Macaca mulatta: one gene and its partner. Each later gene encodes a partner of the first gene's protein in a complex. Links are inferred from orthologs where the notes say so. Each region holds a gene or a part of one and is shown on either strand. Other genes may lie near its edges.

Region 1 (11,510 bases):
AAGCTGTCACTCGGGGATAGGTGCCAGGAAGGGCAGAAGCAGAGAAAGAAGGGGGCGGGCAAGCTTGGGAAGTCAGAGAGGGTCCGGTTGCAGAAGACCCGTGACCAGTGCTGCGAGAACGACAAGCGAAAACCCCAAATGGAAAGATTTGGGGAAAGAATGTCCAAGAAAGAGGGAATAGCAAGTGCCAAGGTGAAAAGGCCTAAAGGAGAAATGGGAAGAGGTCGGTGAGATGTGGCAGAGTGGGTGTGGGAGGGTAGCAGGTGTCAGATCTTGGTGAGCCGCGAGTTGGGATAAGATCGGACTTGGAGGCCTGGCGCGATGGCTCAAGCCTGTAATCCCAGCACTTTGGGAGTCCGAGACGGGCGGATCACGAGGTCAGGAGATCGAGACCATCCTGGCTAACATGGTGAAATCCCGTCTCTACTGAAAAACACAAAAAAACTAGCCGGGCGAGGTGGCGAGCGCCTGTAGTCCCAGCTACTTGGGAGGCTGAGGCGGGAGAATGGCGTAAACCCAGGAGGCGGAGCTTGCAGTGAGCTGAGATCTGGCCACTGCACTCCAGCCTGGGCGACAGAGCGAGACTCCGTCTCAAAAAAAAAAAAAAAAAAAAGAAAAAAAAAAAGATCGGAGTTGGGATAAGATCTGTCTCATAGGGGAAAGGGGCAGATTCAGTAAAGAGCTGTTTGAAGTGATCATAGTGGCCGGCGAGGTAGCTCACACCTGTAACCCAAGCACTTTGGGAGGCTGAGGTGGGAGGATCCCTTGGTCTCAGAGACCAGTCTAGCCTGGCCCACATAGCAAGACTCCATCTTTACAAAAAAGATTTTAAAATTAGCCTGACCTGATGGCCTAGCACTTTGGGAGGCCGAGGCCGAAGGACTGCTTGAGCCCAGGAGTTCAAGACCAGCCTAGGCAACATGGAGAGACCCCCTTCTCTACAAAAATAAATAAATAAATAAAAACAAAAAATAAATTAGCCTGCCATGGTGGCATGAGCCTGTCCCAGCTACTCAAGAGGGTGATACAGGAGGACCATTTGTGCCAAGGAATTTGAGGCTGCAGTGAGCCATGATTACGCCCTTACATTCCAACCTGGGTAACAGAGCGAGATCCTGTCTCAAAAAATAAAAATAAAAATAAAAAATAAAAAATAAACCTGATCATAAAAATTTGGTTTGTATATGCTAGCGCAGCACCAGGAGATTTACTTACCTTCATTCTGTCAATTATGCCATTTATCACTTGATAGTCCTGCTGGTCAGTTGGCATTGTGCCTGCTTCAGGGCCATGGTCACACCCCTGAAGACAGAAGTCAGCATCAGATGGCGGGCACCAAGGATGTTATAGGACACTCACAACTGTGCAGGCTGGCACAGCCTGAAAGTGTCAGGTTGTAGTTCCTCTGAGCCACTTACCCTGTGTATGAGCTTGGAAGGTTGGCTTGCTGTCTCTTGGTTTTCCCACCTGAGACTCATGGAAAGATTAAATGAGGCCAGACATGGTGGCCGGCTCACACCTGTAATCCCAGCACTTTGGGAGGCTGAGATGGGAGTATCACTTGAGCCCAGGAGTTCCAGACCAGCCTGGGCAACATGGTGAAGCACCATCTCTGCAAAAAATTAGCCAGGCATGGTGGCATATGCCTGTAGTCCTAGCTACTTGGGAGGCTAAGGTAGGAGGATTGCTTGAGCCCAGGAAGTTGAGGCTGCAGTGAGCTGTGACTGTGCCACTGCACTCCAGCCTGGGCGACAGAGCGAGACCCTGTCTCAAAAAAAAAAAAAAAAAAAAAAAAAAATTAAATGAGATAGTCTACGGGGGAGTGTCTGGCATAGAGGCAGAGTCTAGCGAATATGCGCTTCTCTTATTTGTTAGTATCTTTATCTTTCTTCCTCTCTGGGGGAGGAGATTGGGAGTAGGCCGCCTCCACGTAGGTCTTCACCTCTGCCCTCCTTCTCTAGAAGTCGAGGACTCAATCCTTGGCCCGTGGGGAAAGTGGCGGTGTCTCTGCGACCTGGGCAAGCAGGAGCGCAGCCGCGAGGTAGTCGGCACAGCGCCAGGCCCAGTTTTCATGGACCCGGAGAACCTGATCCAGTTAGGACCCTGCCGGCAACGGGATTGTCCATCCTGCAAGCCCTTCGACTGCGACTGGAGGCTCTGAGCCCGAGTGAGAGAGGGGCCCAGAGGACGCCGGGCCGGGGCAAGCCGCGGGGCCCAGGGTGGGCGCGGAGGGAGGACGTGCGGTGCGTGGCGGGTATGAAGTGAATTTGGGGAAGGGAGAACTGGGGCTCCAAGTCTTGAGTGACTTGAGGCTGATATGGTTAGGCGGAAGCTGAGTCAGGAGCCGAGAGCCCCGCTGATATCTAGGGAGAAAGGCAGAAATATGGAGGGGGCGCTGGGCGCTAGGACTCACCCCTGTAATTCCAGCATTTTGGGAGGCCAAGACAGGCGCATCTCTTGAGTCCAGGAGTTCAAGACCAGTCTGGGCAATATAGTTGAGATCATCTCTCCATAAAAATGTTTAAAATTAGACGAGCGTGGCGGCACATGCCTGTGGTCCCAGCTACTCGGTAGGATGGGGAGGGAGGATCGCTTGAGCCTGGGAGGCAAAGGTTACAGTGAGCCGAGATCGCTACACTGCTATCCAGCCTGGGAAACAGAGTAACACCCTGTCTTTAAAAAAAAAAAAAAAAGTGGAGGGGGAGGCGCAGAGGAATAAAAGGAGATAAAAAGACAATGAACTAGGACCCTGAGGAAGGGGCATGAGCCTGGTAAGGGGCGGGAACCCACAGGCAGAGGACATAAGCCCCAGTGAGTCCAGGGAATAGAAGAAGTGTGGAGGCCAGGCACTGTGGCTCAGGCTTGTAATCCCAACACTTTGGGAGGCGGAGGCGGCCAGATCACTTGAGCCCAGGAGTTTGAAGCCAGTCTGGGCAACATAGTGAGACCCCGTCTCTACAAAAAATACCAAAAATAGTTGGGCATGGTGGTGTGGTGTGCACCTGTAGTCCAGCTGCTTGGGAGACGGAGGTGGGAGGGTCGTGTCAGCCCAGGAGGTGGAGGTTGCAGTGAGCCAATATCGCACCACTGCACTCCAGCCTGGGCAACAGAGAGAGACCCTGTCTAAAAAAAAAAAGGGGGGGGTGTCGGGGTGGGGGTGGGGACGTTCATTCTAAGTTAGGAGGAATGAGCTTCTATATAGTGGGCACAGACCCTGAGCAGGAGTCCACTGAGGTCTGTGATCTCCAATGGGGGTGGGGAAGGCTTGGCCTGAATGAGAGAGAGGGTAGGAAGCACAGATCCTGCAGGGAGTGGGGGTGGGCTGAAGGCAGCAACCAAGAGAGGGAGTTTGGGGACTCCAAATCCAAAAGCCTGAGTTTAGTGGAAGCGGGGCTACCTGGTTCAGGGGACTTAGAATGTGTACAGAAGAAGGGACTGCAGGCCGGGCGCGGTGGCTCAAGCCTGTAATCCCAGCACTTTGGGAGGCCGAGGCGGGTGGATCACGAGGTCAGGAGATCGAGACTATCCTGGCTAACATGGTGAAACCCCGTCTCTACTAAAAATACAAAAAACTAGCCGGGCGTGGTGGCGGGCGCCTGTAGTCTCAGCTACTTGGGAGGCTGAGGCGGGAGAATGGCGTGAACCCGGGAGGCGGAGCTTGCAGTGAGCCGAGATCATGCCACTGCACTCCAGCCTGGGAGACACAGCCAGACTCCGTCTCAAAAAAAAAAAAAAAAAAAAAGAAGAAGGGACTGCGAGTACAGGGCCTGAATCCAGGTGGAAGTCGGGGACGCAGTGATGCGGGGACCCGTGTCCTGGGACAGGGGTGATATTTGACCCTTAGTTCCCCATTAGGTTGGGTCTTCGAAGCTGCGTCTCAGTTTCCCTTTTATTTCCCCTTTTTCCCACCGGCCAACGCAGGCGGGGCCCCAGAGACCGTGAAGCAGAGCTTGCAAAGTGACCCGGTCCACCGAATTCCCCACGCTGAGTGTTCGGCCACAGTCCTTCGGGACTACAATTCCCAGAAGGGCGCACGGCAGCGGCGTCGGCGTCGGCTGCGTAAGCGTCCACGGCCGTGGGAGCGACAGGGGCGTGTTCTGCCCGCGGATTGGCCGGAAACAGGCGCCACTGCAAGGCCCGCGGAAAACGCGCGCCGAGACCCGCTCCCGCGGTGTTAGTTCTTGCAGCTGGTGGCGGCGGCCGAGGCGGCATGGATCTCAGCGAGCTGGAGAGAGACAACACGGGCCGCTGTCGCCTGAGTTCGCCTGTGCCCGCGGCGTGCCGCAAGGAGCCTTGCGTCCTGGGAGTCGATGAGGCGGGCAGGGGCCCCGTCCTGGGTGCGCACCTAGGGCCAGGGAGGGGAGGGGCGTGGTACGGGGGATGAGGGAAACGGGAGTCGGGATTGCACCGCACCAGGGGAGGGGATGTGGTCGTGGTGATGGCACCCAAAGAAGCAGTGATGGTAGAACAGGGATGGATGGCAACTTTCACGGGCTCAGTGATTGGACCCCGGCTGCGAGAAAACTGACACCCCTTCTCCCCAGGCCCCATGGTCTACGCCATCTGTTATTGTCCCCTGTCCCACCTGGCAGATCTGGAGGCCCTGAAAGTGGCAGGTGAGCCCGAGGTGTGCTTCTGGGGAAGGGATTCCCGAGTATGTGCAGGGGCAGGTGAGAACTGAAAGGGGAGGACAGGAACTGGGAGAAGCAGCTGTTCCACTTCTCTTCCAAACCTCCTTCCAGACTCAAAGACCCTATTGGAGAGCGAGCGGGAAAGGCTCTTTGCGAAAATGGAGGAGAACAGGGACTTTGTCGGCTGGGCGCTGGACGTGCTATCTCCAAACCTCATCTCTACCAGCATGCTTGGGCGGTGAGGGGTACCCGGGGGGGGGCTGTGGGAGAGGGGCAGCCAGCATGGGCTGACTGGGCTTTCTTCCTAGAATGAGGTTAACTGGGCTCTGTTCCCCACCACAGAGTCAAATACAACCTGAACTCCCTGTCACATGATACAGCCACTGGGCTTATACAGTATGCATTGGACCAGGGTGTGAACGTCACCCAGGTGAGTTAAGTGTTGAGTTGTCCCCATTTGGTCATCGCAGGATAAACTGGCGACAAAACAGGAGTTCCAGACTGCAGTGAGCCATGATCATGCCACAGCACTCCATCTTGGGTGACAAAGAAAGACCCCCCTAACCCAAAAATAAAAATGGAGGCCAGGCCCAGTGGCTCACGCCTATAATCGCAGCACTTTGGGAGGCCGCAGCGGGTAGATCACCAGAGGTCAAGAGTTCGAGACCAGCCTGACCAACATGGTGAAACCCCGTCTCTACTAAAAATACAAAAATTAGCTGGACGTGGTGGTGGGCGCCTGTAATCCTAGCTACTCAGGAGGCTGAAGCAGGAGAATCGCTTGAACACAGGAGGCAGAAGTTGCAGTGAGCCAAGATTGTGCCATTGCACTCCAACCTGGGCAACAGAGTGAGACTCTGTCTCAAAAAATAATAATAAATAAAAATAAACTAAAAATAGGAGGCTAGGCACGGTGGCTCAAGGCTGTAATCCCAGTGCTTTGGGAGGCTGAGGCAGGCAAATCACCTAAGGTCAGGAGTTGAAGACCATCCTGGCCAACATGATGAAACCCTGTCTCTACCGAAATCGCTTGAACCCGGGAGGCGGAGGTTGTAGTGAGCTGAGATCGTGCCATTGCACTCCAGCCTGGGGGACACAGCAAAAAATAAAAATAAAAGAAGTAAATGTGGGCAAAAACGTGCAGTGGGCAGATTCAGCATCAGATACGTCTGGAGTGCCTCAGGCATATTCCTTGCTACTGTTGATTTCGTGCTCCTGTTTCTGCCCTAAATGTGTGCCACACTGAGGACCACAGTGTAGCCCCTAGTCCCATCTCCATCTAATCTCTCCCTCATCCTAAAGGCTCAGTCTGCAGAACAAATCCCACATGTGTCTCCCTGCTACCTCTGTCCTAGCCCAGGACACCCCCCACACCCTGGACACCTGCTAAGCATCGTCTCTCATCCCCCACCCTCCTGTCCCCTCCAATCTGTTCCCCATGCAGCAACAGAAGGTAGTCTTTTTGAAATGCACATCTCCTGTGGCTCACACCTGTAATCTCAGCACTTTGGGAGGCCCAGACGGGCGGATCACGAGGTCAGGAGATGGAGACCATCCTGGCTAACACTGTGAAACCCCGTCTCTACTAAAAATACAAAAAATTAGCTGGGCGTGGTGGCAGGTGCCTGTAGTCCCAGCTATTCAGGAGGCTGAGGCAGGAGAATGGCGTGAACCTGGGAGGTGGAGTTTGCAGTGAGCCGAGATCGCGCCACTGCACTCCAGCCTAGGCAACAGAGCGAGACTCCATCTCAAAAAAAAAAAAAAAAAATGCACATCTCAACATTTAGTTTTCCGATCACAGTGGAAATTAAATCAGAAAAATTTACAGTCGAGTGGGGGAGAATTACATTAAATTACCAGAGAAAAACATAAATCAGCATTGCCTCGAATGCTCTCAGTGAAAGAACGGACCATTTTGAGAGAATAACAAGGCAAAATAACCTCGACGTAGGAATTGTATGCTGGGTGTGGTGGCTTATGCCTGTAATCCCAGCAGTTTGGGAAGCTGAGGTGAGCAAATTGGTTGAGGCCAGGAGTTCCAGACTAGCCTGGGCAACATAGCAAGACCCCATCTCTACAAGATGAAGAAAGAAAGGAATTATAGCAAGGTAGGCCTTGCTGAGGAGGGACCTGAGGATCAGGTCCAAATGCAGAGCTGGCGATGCAGTAACTGGCATAGACAGACAAGGGACCTACCCGTGGGGGTTCAGGGCCTAGCCTGGGCAGAAAAATGTTTAGCTGGTAAACAAAAAATAAAGGTGGTTTCTGAAAACAGTACTGCTGTGGAGATACCACTTTCCCCCAGCAGCTCTTGACCCCTCTCTTCGGTGCTGTAGCCATAGACCCCCGTGCAAGGGCCCAGCATCATGGACCTGGTCCCAGCTCAGGGCCTTTGTACTGGCTGTTCTCACACCTAGAGCCCTCTTCCCCAGATCTCTGCACGGTTTAGTTCCTCACCTCCTTCAAGCCTTTATTCACCACTACACCTAGCTAATTTTTTATTTTTTGTAGAAACGTGGTCTCCATATGTTGTCCAGGTTGGTCTCGAACACCTGCCCTCAAGTGATCCTCCTGCTTTGGCTTCCTAAAGTTGGGATTACAGGCGTGTGCCAACGCACTCTACCACTTTTTTTTCTAGTGTTTTCTGCCACCTCAGTTCCTAGAATAGTATCTGGCATGCAGTAGGTGCTAAATAAGTGTAGAGCAGATGCAGCATGATCAGAGGAAGCCTCTTCAGGAGGTGATTTTTTTTTGTTTTATTTTATTGTATTTATTTTATGTTTTTGTAAAGATGGGGTCTCACTGTGTTGCCAAGCCTGGTCTCAAACTCCCAGGGCGATCCTCCCGCCTCAACCTCCCAAAGTGCTGGGATCACAGGCGTGAACAACGTTGCCTGGCCTGGGAGGAGATGTTTGAGTTGAAATCCCTGATTGATTCAGCCTGGGGACGGGCTGTGAGAAGAGGATTCTGGGTAGCAGGAAGAACGTGCCAGGGCTGTGAGGCTAGAGCATTGGTACATTGTTTGTTCAATTAATATGTGTTTGTTGCCGTGGCAGGTGTTTGTGGACACTGTAGGGATGCCAGAGACATACCAGGCGCGGCTGCAGCAAAGTTTTCCCGGGATTGAGGTGACGGTCAAGGCCAAAGCAGATGCCCTTTACCCAGTGGTTAGTGCTGCCAGCATCTGTGCCAAGGTCAGTACCCTAGTAGCCATCGCCGGCTTCCAGCATCCCACTATATAAGGGCCAGGCATGGCCACCACGGGGGAGGAGGGAGATTCCAGGTGGCTGTCTTGCCCACAGGTGGCCCGGGACCAGGCCGTGAAGAAATGGAAGTTCGTGGAGAAACTGCAGGACTCGGATACTGACTATGGCTCAGGCTACCCCAGTGGTGAGCAGACAGTGACCATGGTACTAATGTTGAAATGGCCAGAGCTGAGCACACTTCTGAGGTTTTCTTTTCTTCCTTTCTGTCGTTTATCATTTTATTTTGCTTATTTTTTGTTTCTATTTTTTATTTTTATTTATTTATTTATTTATTTATTTTTTTTTTTTGAGACGGAGTCTTGCTCTGTCGCCCAGGCTGGAGTGCAGTGGCGCGATCTCGGCTCACTGCAAGCTCCACCTCCTGGGTTTACGCCATTCTCTTGCCTCAGCCTCCCAAGTAGCTGGGACTACAGGCGCCCGCCACCTCGCCCGGCTAGTTTTTTGTGTTTTTAGTAGAGACGGGGTTTCACCGTGTTAGCCAGGATGGTCTCGATCTCCTGACCTTGTGATCCGCCCGCCTCGGCCTCCCAAAGTGCTGGGATTACAGGCTTGAGCCACCGCGCCCGGCCATATTTTTATTTATTTTTTGAGACAGAGTTTTGCTCTTGCTGCCCAGGCTGCAGTGCAATGGTGCGATCTCACCGCAACCTCCACCTCCTGGCTTCAAATGATTCTCCTGCGTCAGCCTCGCGAGTAGCTGGGATTACAGGCACGTGCCACCACGCCCGGCTAATTTTGTATTTTTAGTAGAGACGAGGTTTCTCCAGGTTGGTCAGGCTGGTCTTGAACTCCCGACCTCAGGTGATCTGCCTGACTCAGCCTCCCAAAGTGCTGGGATTACAGGCGTGAGCCACCGCGCCCAGCCTATTTTTGTTTTTATAAAAATGGGGTCTTGGTCGGGCGCGGTGGCTCACGCCTGTAATCCCAGCACTTTGGGAGGCCGAGGCGGGCGGATCACGAGGTCAGGAGATCGAGACCATCCTGGCTAACACGGTGAAACCCCGTCTCTACTAAAAAAAAAAAAATGCAAAAAATTAGCCGGGCGAGGCGGCGGGCGCCTGTAGTCCCAGCTACTCGGGAGGCTGAGGCAGGAGAATGGCGTGAACCCGGGAGGCGGAGCTTGCAGTGAGCCGAGATCGCGCCATTGCACTCCAGCCTGGGCGACTAAGCGAGACTCTGTCTCAAAAAAAAAAAAAAAAAAAAAAATGGGGTCTTGTCATGTTGCCCAGGCTGGTATCAAACTCCTGGAGTCAGGCAGTCCTCCCATCTTGGTCTGTCAAAGTGCTGGGATTACAGCCATAAGCCACCACCCCTGGCCCTTTTTTCCTTATTTTTTTAAAGAGATGGGATCTCCCTATGTTGCCCAGCCTGGTCTTGAACTCCTGGGCTTAAGTGATCCTCCTGCCTTGGATTTCCAAACAGCTAGGATTACAGGTGTGAACTACTATGCCTGGCTGGAGGTTTTCTAAATTGTTCTGGTCACCCTACTCCACAGCGAAAGAGGCCAAGTGTTAGACAGTGGTGCCATTTGTTCATGGCCACACAGCCAGTGAGTGACGGAGCTGGGTTCCAGGCCATAGGATTGCTGCTGTCTTCCCCGCTTCCCACTTTACTGTCTCTCTGGAGCCCCAGTGATGAACTGAGACCCACGGTGGGCATCTGCCCCTTTGTTAAGGGGAAGGGGACCAGGCGTGGTGGCTCATGCCTGTAACCACAGCACTTTGGGAAACTGAGGTAGGAGAACCGCTTGAATCCTTGAGTTCAAGACCAACCTGGGCAACATAGCGAGATCCCCATCTCTATAAAAAATTTAAAAAATTAGCCAGTTATAGTGGGGCCCACCTGCAGTCCCAGCTACGCAGGCTAAGGTGGGTGGGTTGCTTGAGCCCAGGAGTTTGAGGCTGCAGTGAGCTATGATTATGTCACTGCACTCCAGCCTGGGTGACAAGGTAAGAGCTTATGTCAAAAAAAAATAATGTTAGCCGGGCGTGGTGGCTCACACCTGTAATCCCAGCACTTTGGGAGGCTGAGGCGGGTGGATCCCTTGAGTTCAGGAGTTCGAGACCAGCCTGACCAACATGGTGAAACCCCATCTCTACTAAAAATACAAAATTAGCTGGACATAGTGGCACACGCCCGTAATCCCAGCGACTCGGGAGGCTGAGGCAGGAGAATTGCTTGAACCTGGGAGATGGAGGTTGCAGTGAGCTGAGATCACACGATTGCACTTCAGCCTGGGAAACGAGCGAAACTCCGTCTCAAAATAATAACAATAATAATGTTTAATGACAGGCTGGGTGAGGTGGCTCATGCCTGTAATCCTAGCATTTTAAGAGACAGAGGCAGGTAGATCATGTGAACTCAGGAATTCAAGACCAGCCTGGGCAATATGGCAAAACCCCATCTCTACAAAAGATACAAAAATTAGCCAGGTGTGGTGGTGCACACCTGTAGTCCCAGCTACTTGGGAGGCTGAGGTGGGCGGATGGCTTGAGCCTGGGAGGCAGAGGTTGCACTGAGCTGCGATCATGCCACTACACTCCAGCCTAGGTAATAGAGCGAGACCCTATCTCAAAAAAAATAAAAAGACTGGGCATGGTGGCTCACACCTGTAATCCCAGCACTTTGGGAGGCTGAAGTGGGTGGATCACCTGAGGTCAGGAGTTTGAGACCAGCCTGACTGTCTGATACTGTGAAACCCCATCTCTACTAAAAATACAAAAATTAGCCAGGTATGGTGGTGGATGGCTGTAGTCCCAGCTACTTGGGAGGCTGAGGCAGGAGAATCACTTGAACCTGGAAGGCGGAGGTTGCAGTGAGTTGAGATCACACCACTGCACTCCAGCCTGGGCGACAGAACAAGACTCCATCTCAAACAATAAATAAATAAATAAAATAGGCTGGGCGCGGTGGCTCAAGCCTGTAATCCCAGCACTTTGCGAGGCCGAGGCGGGCGGATCACGAGGTCAGGAGATCGAGACCATCCTGGCTAACCCAGTGAAACCCCGTCTCTACTAAAAAATACAAAAAACTAGCTGGGCGAGGTGGCGGGCGCCTGTAGTCCCAGCTACTCGGGAGGCTGAGGCAGGAGAATGGCGTGAACCCGGGAGGCGGAGCTTGCAGTGAGCCGAGATCCGGCCACTGCACTCCAGCCCGGGCGACAGAGCGAGACTCCGTCTCAAAAAAATAATAATAAATAAATAAATAAATAAAATAAAAATGTTTAATCACTTGTTCTTGGAGGTCAAGGAGATGTCTCAGAGGCAGTCTCCCTGCACTGCCCTTTGAGCAGTTCTTGGCCAGGTAAAGATCCTGTGGCAAGAAGGTGCCTCAGACAATAGGAGGTGCCCCAGGTACTCCGGAGGAAGCCTTAGAAGAGTGGCAAGGAGGCCAGGCGCAGTGACTCACCCCTGTAATCCCAGCACTTTGGGAGGCCGAGGTGGTTAGATCACGAGGTCAAGCGATTGAGACCATCCTGGCCAACATGGTGAAACCTCATCACTACTAAAAATACAGAATTTTGCTGGGTACGGTGGCGTGTGCCTGTAATCCCAGCTACTTGGGAGGCTGAGGCGGGAGAATTGCTTGAACCCGGGAGGCGGAAGTTGCAATG
Region 2 (11,253 bases), on another chromosome or scaffold:
TGAGACGGAGTCTCACTCTGTTGCCCAGGCTGGAGTGCAGTGGCGTGATCTGGGCTCACTGCAAGCTCCGCCTCCTGGGTTCACGCCCTTCTCCTGCCTCAGCCTCCCGAGTAGCTGGGACTACAGGCGCCCGCCACCTCGCCTGGCTAATTTTTTGTATTTTTAGTAGAGACGGGGTTTCACCGTGTTAGCCAGGATGGTCTCAATTTCCTGACCTCGTGATCCGCCCGCCTCAGCCTCCCATAGTGCTCGGATTATAGGCATGAGCCACCGCGCCCGGCAGAATGTTGTGTTTTTTGTTTTGTTTTGTTTTTTGAGACGGAGTCTCGCTCTGTCGCCCAGGCTGGAGTGCAGTGGCCGGATCTCAGCTCACTGCAAGCTCCGCCTCCCAGGTTTATGCCATTCTCCTGCCTCAGCCTCCCGAGTAGCTGGGACTACAGGCGCCTGCCACCACGCCTGGACAATTTTTTGTATTTTTTAGTAGAGACAGGGTTTCACCGTGCTAGCCAGGATGGTCTCGATCTCCTGACCTCGTGATCCGCCCGTCTCGGCCTCCCAAAGTGCTGGGATTACAGGCTTGAGCCACCGCGCCCGGCCAGAATGTTAGGTTTTTTAACAGCTAGACTCCCAAGACTGTCAGAGAGAGCTTCTCTGAGGAGCGGTGGTCGGAGTCTGACTTTGGACACATTAGTTTGTTGATTGCTGTTAAAAACATTACAGGGTGGAGTCTCCTGGCCAGGCTTAGATGGAGGTGTGCAGAGTAAGTCGGGAAACTTGCCCGACTGAGCAGGGAGGCATTCAGACACATCACACATCTGGCACAGAGGCTTTTCAACACTGAGGAGCAGCCCTGCGTAAGCTGCGGGCTAGTGGAGTGGGTCAGGCCCAGCCAGGGAAGAATACTCATCACCTATCAGTCTGGGGCATAGCACAAACAGTGAAGCTCCTGGTTGACCCTGAACCACTGGCCAGGCTCAAGGCAGGATACCCAGAATGGTGACAAGCCTTTTCTCTTGCAGAGTTATTCCCAGAACCTGTGTCTTTTGGCCAAGTGTTTCCTTGACCATAAGACACTGTACTATGACACAGACCCTTTCCTCTTCTACGTCATGACGGAGTATGACTGTAAGGGCTTCCACATCGTGGGCTACTTCTCCAAGGTCAGTGCCTGTCCAGGCTGTCCCTGTGCCCTATCCTGAGCCAGGTCCCTTCCCTGACACTCACCTGCCCCCCTTTTCCAGGAGAAAGAATCGACAGAAGACTACAATGTGGCCTGCATCCTAACCCTGCCTCCCTACCAGCGCCGGGGCTACGGCAAGCTGCTGATCGAGTTCAGTGAGTATGTGTGCTGCAGCCAGGGGGTAGTGCACCCATCATCGGTGCCCCATAGGCAGATGTGCCAGGCTACCGTGATTCTCAACCGTGGCTGTGCAGCCCGGTCTCTAGGGGAGCCAGCCAGAAATAACAGTGGCACTCTCCCAGAGTTCTCTCCATTCAGGCTGACTGCCCTGCTTATCTGGGGTAGGTTCTCAGCCCCACAGTTTGCTCCTTGGCCAGGGTTCTAAGTGCCACTCAGCTTTCCCCAAATCTGACTTACATGCTCCTGCCTGGAGCCATGGGCAGGTTAGTGAGCCGCTGGTGCTCATGTATCTGGTAACCGGTGTCACATGATACAAGTCCTTGGGCAAGGACCAGTGGTTAATGTCCCCAGTTGTCGCCTGAGCCGTGCAGGCAGGTGTCCAAAATGCTGTCAACAGATACACGTAAGCATGGAATTCTCCCTTGCTCCTCGTGTCCAGTGAGGTCAGTCTCTTAAAGCCAGAAGGGACTCTGACCTTCATCACACATGAGCTCTTCAGTGCCCTCCCCAACCCTGAGGCTCCTTCTCCTTCTCAGCCTCTTCCCCATCACCCCGCATTCTATCTCACCACTCACTTGGAATAACTAAGCTCTGACCTGAGAAAAGAAGAGGAAGTTCTAGCTGTTTGCCTGGTGAAGACACAGAGGCTTTACTTGATCAAGGTTATGGTCCATTCGAGAAATGTATTGGTTAAGTGATGCCCAGATGGGGTCACATCCTCAGAACTTCTCAGCCTGGTAGCACAAGTGGATGCTTGAAGAAACTCAGTCTTGGAGCTCAGACTGCAATGGAGATGGGATGTGGGTGGGACTACCAAGGGGCTAAGGTCCATTGTGAGGGTGAGGAAGGGCTTCTAGAAGTCACAAACATCCCAGGTCCCTGGTGGGGAGAATGAAGACACTGCCCAAGAGATGTGAAGCCACTCAGGGCTGTGCAGGGCCAGGATCTCACTGGGGACTGCCTCCCAGTGCGCAGCTATCAGCAGGAGTTGGAGGGAAACAGCCATGGTGGGGGTCAGTCACCTGGCTCTCAGGAATGGTCTCCCCAACTTGGGAAGCACTTTGGTGCACCTTTTCTCCTTGCATCCTCACAACCACCCAGTCAGGCCACTCAGGTCTTAACAGCAGCTGACACTCCCAAGATCCCAGCTAGGAGGACTGATTTGACTGAGAATTCAAGCATTCTCAGGCCTGGATTAGAGACAGGAATCTGTCCCCACTTCCTTCCTTACATGCCCAGACATGGAGCCTGGGATGGCAAAGGAAAATTGGAGGCACTTTCTTCCCCTGAGCCATTTTCCCTGCATCCCCTGCCCATAAGCCTTCACTGGCCTCTGATCACCCTCGTGGTTGACTGCAGCTGCTCCTCTCAGTGCTCTCATGCCCTCCACTGTGCTCAACTCCCAGGGGAAGAGTGAATACTCGTTAGTTCTTCCTGAGGGAACTGAGGCGCAGAGAGGCGGAGGCCACAGAACTGCCAAGTGGCAGGGCCATGATGGGAACTAGGCAGCCTGCCTTGGCGACCTGTGTTTTTAAATGTTGCTTATGTTCATCTATGACCTCTTACTCACCCTCTCCTGCTCCATTGCTTTAGGCTATGAACTCTCCAAAGTGGAAGGGAAAACAGGGACCCCTGAGAAGCCCCTCTCAGACCTTGGCCTCCTATCCTATCGAAGTTACTGGTCCCAGACCATCCTGGAGATCCTGATGGGGCTGAAGTCAGAGAGCGGGGAGAGGCCACAGATCACCATCAAGTGAGCCTGGCGCTGCCTACCTGGGGGTACATGGCATGGCCTGTCTGTTCCTGGGCTTTCTCACTCTCTCCTGGGGCTCCTGGGGACAGATGAAGGTCCTCAGGGGACCTGACCTTTGCTCTCCTACAGTGAGATCAGTGAAATCACCAGCATCAAGAAGGAGGATGTCATCTCCACTCTGCAGTACCTCAATCTCATCAACTACTACAAGGTAGGGAGGCAGGCAGGGTGGAGACAGGTGTGTGGGATGCAGAGTGCAGGCCCCTGTCCGCTGGCCACTTGCTGAACCCATCTCCTCTGCCCAGGGCCAGTACATCCTCACACTGTCAGAGGACATCGTGGATGGCCATGAGCGGGCTATGCTCAAGCGGCTCCTGCGGATTGACTCCAAGTGTCTGCACTTCACTCCCAAGGACTGGAGCAAGAGGGGGAAGTGGTGACCAGGCACTGCCCACTGCAGTGCTAAGACAGCAGGACTGGGGCTGATAGCCCACCCCGCCCTCACTGCAGCTCCCACAAAGCACTCTAAGGGAGATGGGGCTGAAAAGCTCGAAAAGGAGGGGACAGGCCTGGCAGGGCCCATTGGTGCCCGGCACCAAGGCGAGCTCAGGGCTCAGGCTAACTCCAAGGTCAGCTGGCCACAGGCCCAGGCCTGCTCTGAACCAGGGATCAGAGGGAGCCAGGCAGCTGTGTACAGTGAGATGGGGGGTGGGGGAGCTCTGTACAGAGGGCTGGTGGTTGTAAAAATTTCTTTTGTAAAGTAGAAGTTGGGGGTGGGGTGGGTGCTGGCTGCAAAAAATTCTGGCTTCTCTTATCCCCATTGCCCACGGCAATAAATTGTTTCTATATGCCAGAGCCATGCAAGGTTCTTGGGGGAGAGGGGTCCATGCTGGCTTAGGGGCTCTAAGGTGCCCGGACTCACAGGTGCTGTAAAGAGCTCCTTTATTGGGGTGATGGAATCAGTGGTTCCAAAGAGCTGGTTTACTGCTGTGAAGGGATCGCAGCTTTGAATTTCAAGCTCTGGTTCTCAGTCCTCGGGCACCTGTGCGTGAATCTGCAAGAGGAGTCGCCTCTACTGTTGGACTTGTAAGGCAGGGCGGCAGGCTGGCCCCCAGACCCGGGGAAGGACCCAGCTGTTCAGAATAACCCCTTCTAGACATGGCTAGGAAGAGTGGTCGGGGAGCTACGCTTCCCACGCACTACCCAGTAGAATCCTCCAGGCTTCGTCTGCCCAATTGTGCTCCACAGCCCATCCACCCGGGGACAAGACGGAACTCCTCATCTACTCACCGCTGCCGCAAGACTGGGCCAAGTTAGGGCCCCACGCACTTTGGCATCCGGGCCAGGGATGGTCTCCAGACCCCACAAGGTGAAGTGGCTGAAGCTGGCAGTGGCTCCAATGAAGCGGTCCTGAGGAAGGGGCCTGGCTCAGCATCGGGACTACAGGTCCCGCCCGCACCCCCTTTCAACCCTATCCCTTTGCTCACAAAGTCCCGTTCCAGCGGCGACTCTTCTTGGTCGTCAGTCCCGGAATCCCGCAAGGGGTCTGGCTTCCCCATGGACACTTCCTTCTCTTCCGTCACCATCACGTATCCCACGAGGCCAGGCGGCACCGCCACCTCCTCGCCCCGTAGACAGCGGCCCCGAAATGACACTTCGAGTCCTGGAGCGGGAGGCGCAAAGAGCCTCAGGCAGGACCCACACTGGGCCCAGGACCTGAGCCCTGCGGAGCGAGCCCGGAGCTGCCCTCCCGCCACTTCCGGACGCACCACGATCCCCCGGAGCCCAGGAGATGAGGGGCGCGCGGACCGGCGCGGGGGCTGCCGGGACTGTAGTCCGGCCGCGATGCTCACCCTCGGGGCCCTGGCGGATGGCAGGCGTGAAGAAGCGCCCCACCGGGGCGGGCCCGTCCACCGCGACCTCGCAGGGCAGCAGGTGTAGTGCGACGGGGGCGGCGTCGCGCAGCGTGGCGGAGCGCAAGTGGACGCGGTGCCTCTCGATGGCCGCTTCGTCGCCGCACTCCATCCTCGCTTCTACGCGACGCAAGGGCTCGCGGGTTGACGCTGAAGCTGGCGCGGAAAGCGCGCAGGGCCTCTCAGGAAGCCCCCCGCAGAGCCTCACGGGAAGCCGCCGCGGAGCTTCACGGGAAGTGTAGTCCCCTTACCCCTAATGCTTTCCCTGGGTCAAAGTCCTAGGACTCCCCTCCCCTCCCTTCCCTTCCGCGCCCCGCCCAGTCTCTCCCCTCCCCACCCCACCCCTTCCCTCCCCTCCCCTCCCTTCCTCCCTTCCTCCCTTCCTCCCCTCCTCCCCTCTTTCCCTTCCCTTCCCTTCCTTCCTTTCCTTCCCTTCCTTCCCTCTTTCTTTTTCTTATTTTTTATTTTTTAGAGTCTCATTCTGTCGCCCAGGCTGAAGTGCAGTGGCGCGATCTCAGCTTCACTGCAACCTACGCCTCCCGGGTTCAAGCGATTCTCCTGCCTCAGCCTCCGGAGTAGCTGGAATTACAGGCTAATTACCTAATTTTTGTATTTTTAGTAGAGACGGAGTTTTGCCATGTTGGCCAGGCTGGTCTCGAACTACTGACCTCAGGTGATCCTCCAGCCTTGGCCTCCGGAAGTGCTTGGATTACAGGCGTGAGCCACCGCGCCCAGCCAGGTTTTTTTCTTGTATTGTTTTTAATGGGACATGATCGTTGTAAAAATCTAAAACGATTCTGAACTCTTTATATTGGTTGGTAGATGGGTTCTTCATTTTTAGTTTATTAGGGACATCAACCCTTTTCTCAAATGCATTGAAAATGTTTTATCTGTGGTCTGTCTTGCAAACCTGTGTAAAGGTGATTTTTGGTGGACAAAGACTTATTTTTGTTGTTGTTTGGTTTTATAGACAAGGTCTCACTCACCTAGGCTGGAGTGCAGTGGTTTGATTGGCTAACTGCAGCCTCGACCTCCCAGGCTTAATCCATCCCCCAACCTCAGCCTCCCGTGTAGCTAGAACCACAGGCCTGCGCCACCACGCGGCTCATTTTTGTATTTTTGGTAGAGGCAGAGTTTTGCCATGTTGCCCAGGTCTTGAACTCCTGGACTCAAGCTATCTGCCCGCTTTGGCCTTCCAAATCACGCTGGAATTACAGGCGTGAGCCACTGTACCCGGGATAAAGACTTATTTTTTGTAGTCAAATTTATCAACATTTTTCAGTCTTTTAGATTTCACAATTCTCTTTTTGGTTTCTCAACTCTTCTCTAATGTTTATTTGTTCAGACACCCAACTTAGATATTATTTTTTCAAGTTCTCACATAAACACAAAACTGGAAATTTAGATTTAAATTGCGTTTAATTTATACATCCCTGGACATCTGGGAGCTGGCCTTGGTATTCTGTTGAACATAAATTTCAGAGAACATCAGCATCGGACAAGGTCACTCTGTGACCATGAGGGAGCAAGACAGAAACAGAACCTCTCCATCATCACATCTGAACGCTGGCAAAGGTGAACACTGTCCAAACCACAAAAGGCATGAAACATCCCTCTTTCTCCCACAGGAGAGTGACTGTTGTTTCCTTACCAATTACAGCACTAGCCTCCAACTAATCTTCTCTCCTGGCCAAGATTCATTAAGATAGTCCGTCATAGACATACCCCCACCTCTGACAGCATCCAAGCCAGAGAGAAGCCTGGCTTCCCTAAACCCTGACTGAAATCACTGAACATGGGCACAAATCCTCCTTTAAGTCCTTTCTAGCACCTTCTTACTGAAATGCCCCAGAGTGCAGGAGTAATATGCCCAATTTGTTCAACTGCAGATGTATTCCTGGTGGTCTTTGGCTAGAGTGGCAGATTAATTTAGAAAAAGGCTTGCTTTAGTTTTCTATCACGAAATACTTAATTCCATTTATTCACATCTCCTTGGATATCCGTACAGTTGTGAGGTTTTGTTCATATATAATAGTTTAAGTTTATTTCTTCCTAGGTTATATTAATAATTGTTTGTATTAAAAACTGAGGGGCTGGGCATGACTGGCTCACACCTGTAATTCCAGTGCTTTAGGAGGCCAAGATGGGGGAGGATTGCTTGAGACCAGGAGTTCGAGACCAGCCTGGGAAACATAGCAAGACTCCGTTTCTACAAAGAAAAAAATGTTTTAAACATGAGTGGGGCACGGCGGCATGTGCCCGTAGTCCCAGCTACTCAAGAAGCTGAGGTGGGAAGATCACTTAAGCCTAGGAGTTTGAGGCTGTTATTCGAGTCACAGTTGCACCGCTGCACACCAGCCTGGGTTACAGAAGAAGACTCTGTCTCTAAAAACCAAAATTGGGGCCGGGCGCGGTGGCTCAAGCCTGTAATGCCAGCACTTTGGGAGGCCGAGACGGGTGGATCACGAGGTCAGGAGATCGAGACCATCCTGGCTAACATGGTGAAACCCCGTCTCTACTAAAAATACAAAAAACTAGCCGGGGGAGGTGGCGGGCGCCTGTAGTCCCAGCTATTCGGGAGGCTGCAGTGGGAGAATGGCGTGAACCCGGGAGGCGGAGCTTGCAGTGAGCTGAGATCGCGCCACTGTACTCCAGCCTGGGCGACAGAGCGAGACTCCATCTCAAAAAAAAAAAAAAAAAAAAAAACCAAAATTGGGGCTTTTATTTTTTCATTTTATTTTCTGACTGATTTTTTTTTAATCTATAGCAGGGGGTGGCAAACTTTTTCTGTAAGGGGTCACATAGTAAATATTTTAGGTTTTATGGACCTTATGGTCTCTGTCACAGCTACTCACCTTCACCATTCTAGCATGGAAACAGCCATAGACAGTACATACATGAATGAGCATTGTTGTGTTCCAGTAAATCTTTGCAAAAACAGACAGTGGATTGGATTTGAACCACAGGCCATATTTTTCAGACCCCTTGTCTGTAGCAAACCTGTTGATTTTTATATGTTAATTTTCAAACTAGATATCTACTGAATTCTTTTGTTCCTAATGATTTTTATTTTCTTAAGAAAATAAAATATTAGCCAGAATTAGCCACCTCTCTTTCAAATAATGATAATTTCACCTCATCATTACATCTTCTTTTTTGTTTGTTTTCATTACACCTTGTAATTTGTTTTCTTTTCTTTCCTTTTCTTTTCTTTCTTTTTTTTTTTTTTTTGAGACAGAGTCTCGCTCTGTCGCCCAGGCTGGAGTGCAGTGGCCAGATCTCAGCTCACTACAAGCTCCGCCTCCCGGGTTTACACCATTCTCCTGCCTCAGCCTCCCGAGTAGCTGGGACTACAGGCGCCCGCCACCTCGCCCGGCTAGTTTTTTGTATTTTTTAGTAGAGACGGGGTTTCACCGTGTTAGCCAGGATGGTCTCCCCACCAGCATGGTTCAAACTTCATTTACCATGGAATTTTAACGAATTCTGTAAGGTCCAAACCTTGCTGCTGGCTCTTTAGTCCAAAAAACATGACATAAATAACAGATGGGCATCATGATTAGAACATCACTGCTTTCGAAGACTAGTGGTGATTGGCTGGTCAGTGCTGGTCTGTCATTCAGCTCATGCAGACGCCAGACAAGTGTATAGTTGGGTTGCCTCCTTGTCTCTCAGTGATCAACAGATATAACATTTTATGAAATTCAATGATTGGGCCGGGCGTGGTGACTCACACCTGTAATCCCAGCGCTTTGGGAGGCCAAGGTGGATGGATCACTTGAGGTCAGGAGTTGAAGACCATCCTGGCCAACCTGGTGAAACTCCGTCTCTACTAAAAATACAAAAATTAGCCAGGCGCCCGTGGTGGTGGGCGCCTATAATCCCAGCTACTCGGAGGCTGAGGCAGGAGAATCACTTAAACCTGGGAGGCAGAGGTTGCCGTGAGCCAAGATTGTGCCACTGCACTCCAGCCTGGGTGACAGAGCGAGACTCCTTCTCAAAATAATAATAATAATAATAATAATAATAATTTTAAAAATCGGATGAATAACTGGAAGGGGGAATGGCTAACAAATATAAAAGTACAGCAAAAAAAAATGAGGATAAGACTGGAAGTGAAATTGTATATGAAGCTGTGGCACGAACTATATTGAAAGTCTGATGAATATCATGATATAGTTTGGATGCTTATCTCCTCCAATGCTCATGTTGAAGTGTGACCCCCCCAATGTTGGAGGTGGGGCTTAGTGGGAGGGGTTGGGCCATGGGAGTGGATCCCTCAGGAATGGCTTGGTGCCCTCTTCAAGGTAATGAGTGGTAGTAAGTTCACATGAGAACTGATTATTTAAAAGTGTGGCAGCTCCCCATCCCTCTCTCTTGCTCCCTCTCCTGCCATGTGATACACTGCTCCCCCTTTGCCCTCTGCCATGGTTGTAAGCTTCCCAAGGCCTCACCAGAAGCAGGTGCTGGAGCCATGCTTCTCGTACAGACTGTAGAACTGTGACCCAAATAAACCTCTTTTCTTTATAAATTACCTAGTCTCCAGTGTTCCTTCAGAGCAACACGAAATAAACTAATACATATAATAAACGAGGTAAAGTTGCTTCAACATATTTTTTAAATTTTTTCTTTTAATTTTTTTTTTTTCTTTGTTGCCCAGGCTAGTCTTGAACTCCTGAGCTCAAGAGATCCTCCCACCTCAGCCTCCCAAAGTGCTGGGATTACAGGCATGAACCAACACGTCCAGGCTGCTTCAACATCTTTTAGTTTAAATTGCACTGGAAACAGAAGTCGTTTGTGGTTGAAATGGAATGTTTACTTCTATGTTGAACTGAAGACTGTAATTTGTTAACAATCCCCATCGGTTTGGCCAGCATTCCGGCTGAAGCATTGAAGTTAATTGCCACATTGACAGAAAACAGTAATTTCAAGGAGACTGTAGAAACTTTTACCAACGGTAAAGGGTGGTTTGTTTCATCATTTCAGAAGTTGGCATGAATTGATTAATGTGAAACTGTCAAGCACAGATGAGGATATTGCTGTGAATTCTGCAAGGATTCAGATGTCAAGGATTTTTTTTTTTTTTTTTGGTCAGGGTCTCGTTCTGTTGCTCAAACTGTACTGAAGTGGCACGATCATGGCTCACTGCAGCCTCAAACTCCTGAGCTCAAGCAATCCTCCAGCCTCAGCCTCCCAAGTAGCTTAGATGATAGGCATGTGCCACCACACCCAGCTAGGTTTCTGCATTTTTTTAGAGGCCAGGGGCGGTGGCTCATGCCTGTAATCCCAGCACTTTGGGAGGCCGTGGCTGGCGGATCACCCAAGGTTAGGAGTTCGAGACCAGCCTGGCCAACATGGTGAAACCCCATCTCTACTAAAAATACAAAAATTAGGCCGGGCGTGGTGGCTCACGCCTGTAATCCCAGCACTTTGGGAGGCCGAGGTGGGCGGATCACAAGGTCAGGAGATCGAGACCATGGTGAAACCCCGTCTCTACTAAAAATAGAAAAAATTAGCCGGGCGCAGGGGCGGGCGCCTGTAGTCCCAGCTACTCGGGAGGCTGAGGCAGGAGAATGGCGTGAACCCGGAAGGCAGAGCTTGCAGTGAGCCGAGATTGCGCCACTGCACTCCAGCCTGGGCGACAGAGCGAGACTCCGTCTCAAAAAAAAAAAAAAAAAAAAAAAAAACAAAAATTAGGCCAGGCATGGTGGCTCACACCTGTAATCCCAACACTTTGGGAGGCCAAGAAGGGCGGATCACCAGGTCAGGAGTTCAAGACCAGCCTGGCCAACATAGTGAAACCCCATCTCTACTAAGAATACAAAAAAAAAATTTTTTTTCTATAGATGGGGTCTCACTGTATTGCCCAGGCTGGTCTTGAACGCCTGAGCTCAGGCAATCCTCTGGCCTTAATCTCCCAAAGTGTTAAGACTATAGGCATGAGCCACCACATCCAGCTGATTTTGTTTTTTTTAACTAACCACTATACTAACGAGGATCAAGGATAATTATTAAGGCAGGCAGTGGTCACGAAAAGGATAACGATGTCCTAGAAGAAATGCCGCTGGCAAAAAGTTTAAAAGAACTTGGAGGCCGGGCGCGGTGGCTCAAGCCTGTAATCCCAGCACTTTGGGAGGCCGAGACGGGCGGATCACGAGGTCAGGAGATCAAGACCATCCTGGCTAACACGGTGAAACCCCGTCTCTACTGAAAAATACAAAAAACTAGCC

Evidence for each region.
Region 2: the proteins of RNASEH2A (region 1) and RNASEH2C are in contact, whole or in part, in a crystal structure (PDB 3PUF), measured with the Homo sapiens proteins. The link is inferred for Macaca mulatta from reciprocal best matches to the Homo sapiens genes RNASEH2A and RNASEH2C. Residues at the interface, in NP_006388.2 of Homo sapiens: Thr11, Asn99, Ser102, Thr103, Leu106, Gly107, Arg108, Val109, Val196, Glu197, Lys198, Leu199, Glu225, Pro226, Val227, Phe228, Gly229, Phe230, Pro231, Gln232, Phe236, Leu245, Ala249, Glu250, Asp251, Val252, Ile253, Trp254, Glu255, Asp256; in NP_115569.2 of Homo sapiens: Pro33, Cys34, Glu35, Val36, Ala37, Val38, Ala42, Pro43, Val44, Gly45, Arg46, Phe47, Phe48, Pro50, Ala51, Arg53, Ser62, Phe63, Arg64, Gly65, Arg66, Cys67, Leu68, Leu134, Glu135, Thr136, Lys143, Gly146, Ala147, Thr149.

Annotation. Positions count from the first base shown.
Region 1 is NC_133424.1:13,358,633-13,370,142, forward strand, and holds the start of RNASEH2A (ribonuclease H2 subunit A), read left to right. Parts: upstream 1-3,921; 5' UTR 3,922-4,210; coding exon 4,211-4,337; intron 4,338-4,544; coding exon 4,545-4,616; intron 4,617-4,742; coding exon 4,743-4,869; intron 4,870-4,973; coding exon 4,974-5,061; intron 5,062-7,687; coding exon 7,688-7,825; intron 7,826-7,933; coding exon 7,934-8,021; intron 8,022-11,510. Other genes in the region: THSD8 (thrombospondin type-1 domain-containing protein 8), read left to right, coding at 1,962-2,161. UniProt on the Homo sapiens protein: Catalytic subunit of RNase HII, an endonuclease that specifically degrades the RNA of RNA:DNA hybrids. Participates in DNA replication, possibly by mediating the removal of lagging-strand Okazaki fragment RNA primers during DNA replication.
Region 2 is NC_133419.1:8,666,946-8,678,198, reverse strand, and holds RNASEH2C (ribonuclease H2 subunit C), read right to left. Parts: upstream 5,259-11,253; 5' UTR 5,139-5,258; coding exon 4,967-5,138; coding exon of another isoform or gene 4,883-4,966; intron 4,777-4,882; coding exon 4,601-4,776; intron 4,524-4,600; coding exon 4,404-4,523; intron 4,168-4,403; coding exon 4,141-4,167; 3' UTR 3,554-4,140; coding exon of another isoform or gene 3,419-3,553; exon of another isoform or gene 3,326-3,418; 3' UTR 3,325-3,325; coding exon of another isoform or gene 3,243-3,324; exon of another isoform or gene 3,114-3,242; coding exon of another isoform or gene 2,954-3,113; 3' UTR 2,732-2,953; downstream 1-2,731. Other genes in the region: histone acetyltransferase KAT5, read left to right, coding at 1,020-1,160, 1,242-1,335, 2,954-3,113, 3,243-3,324, 3,419-3,553.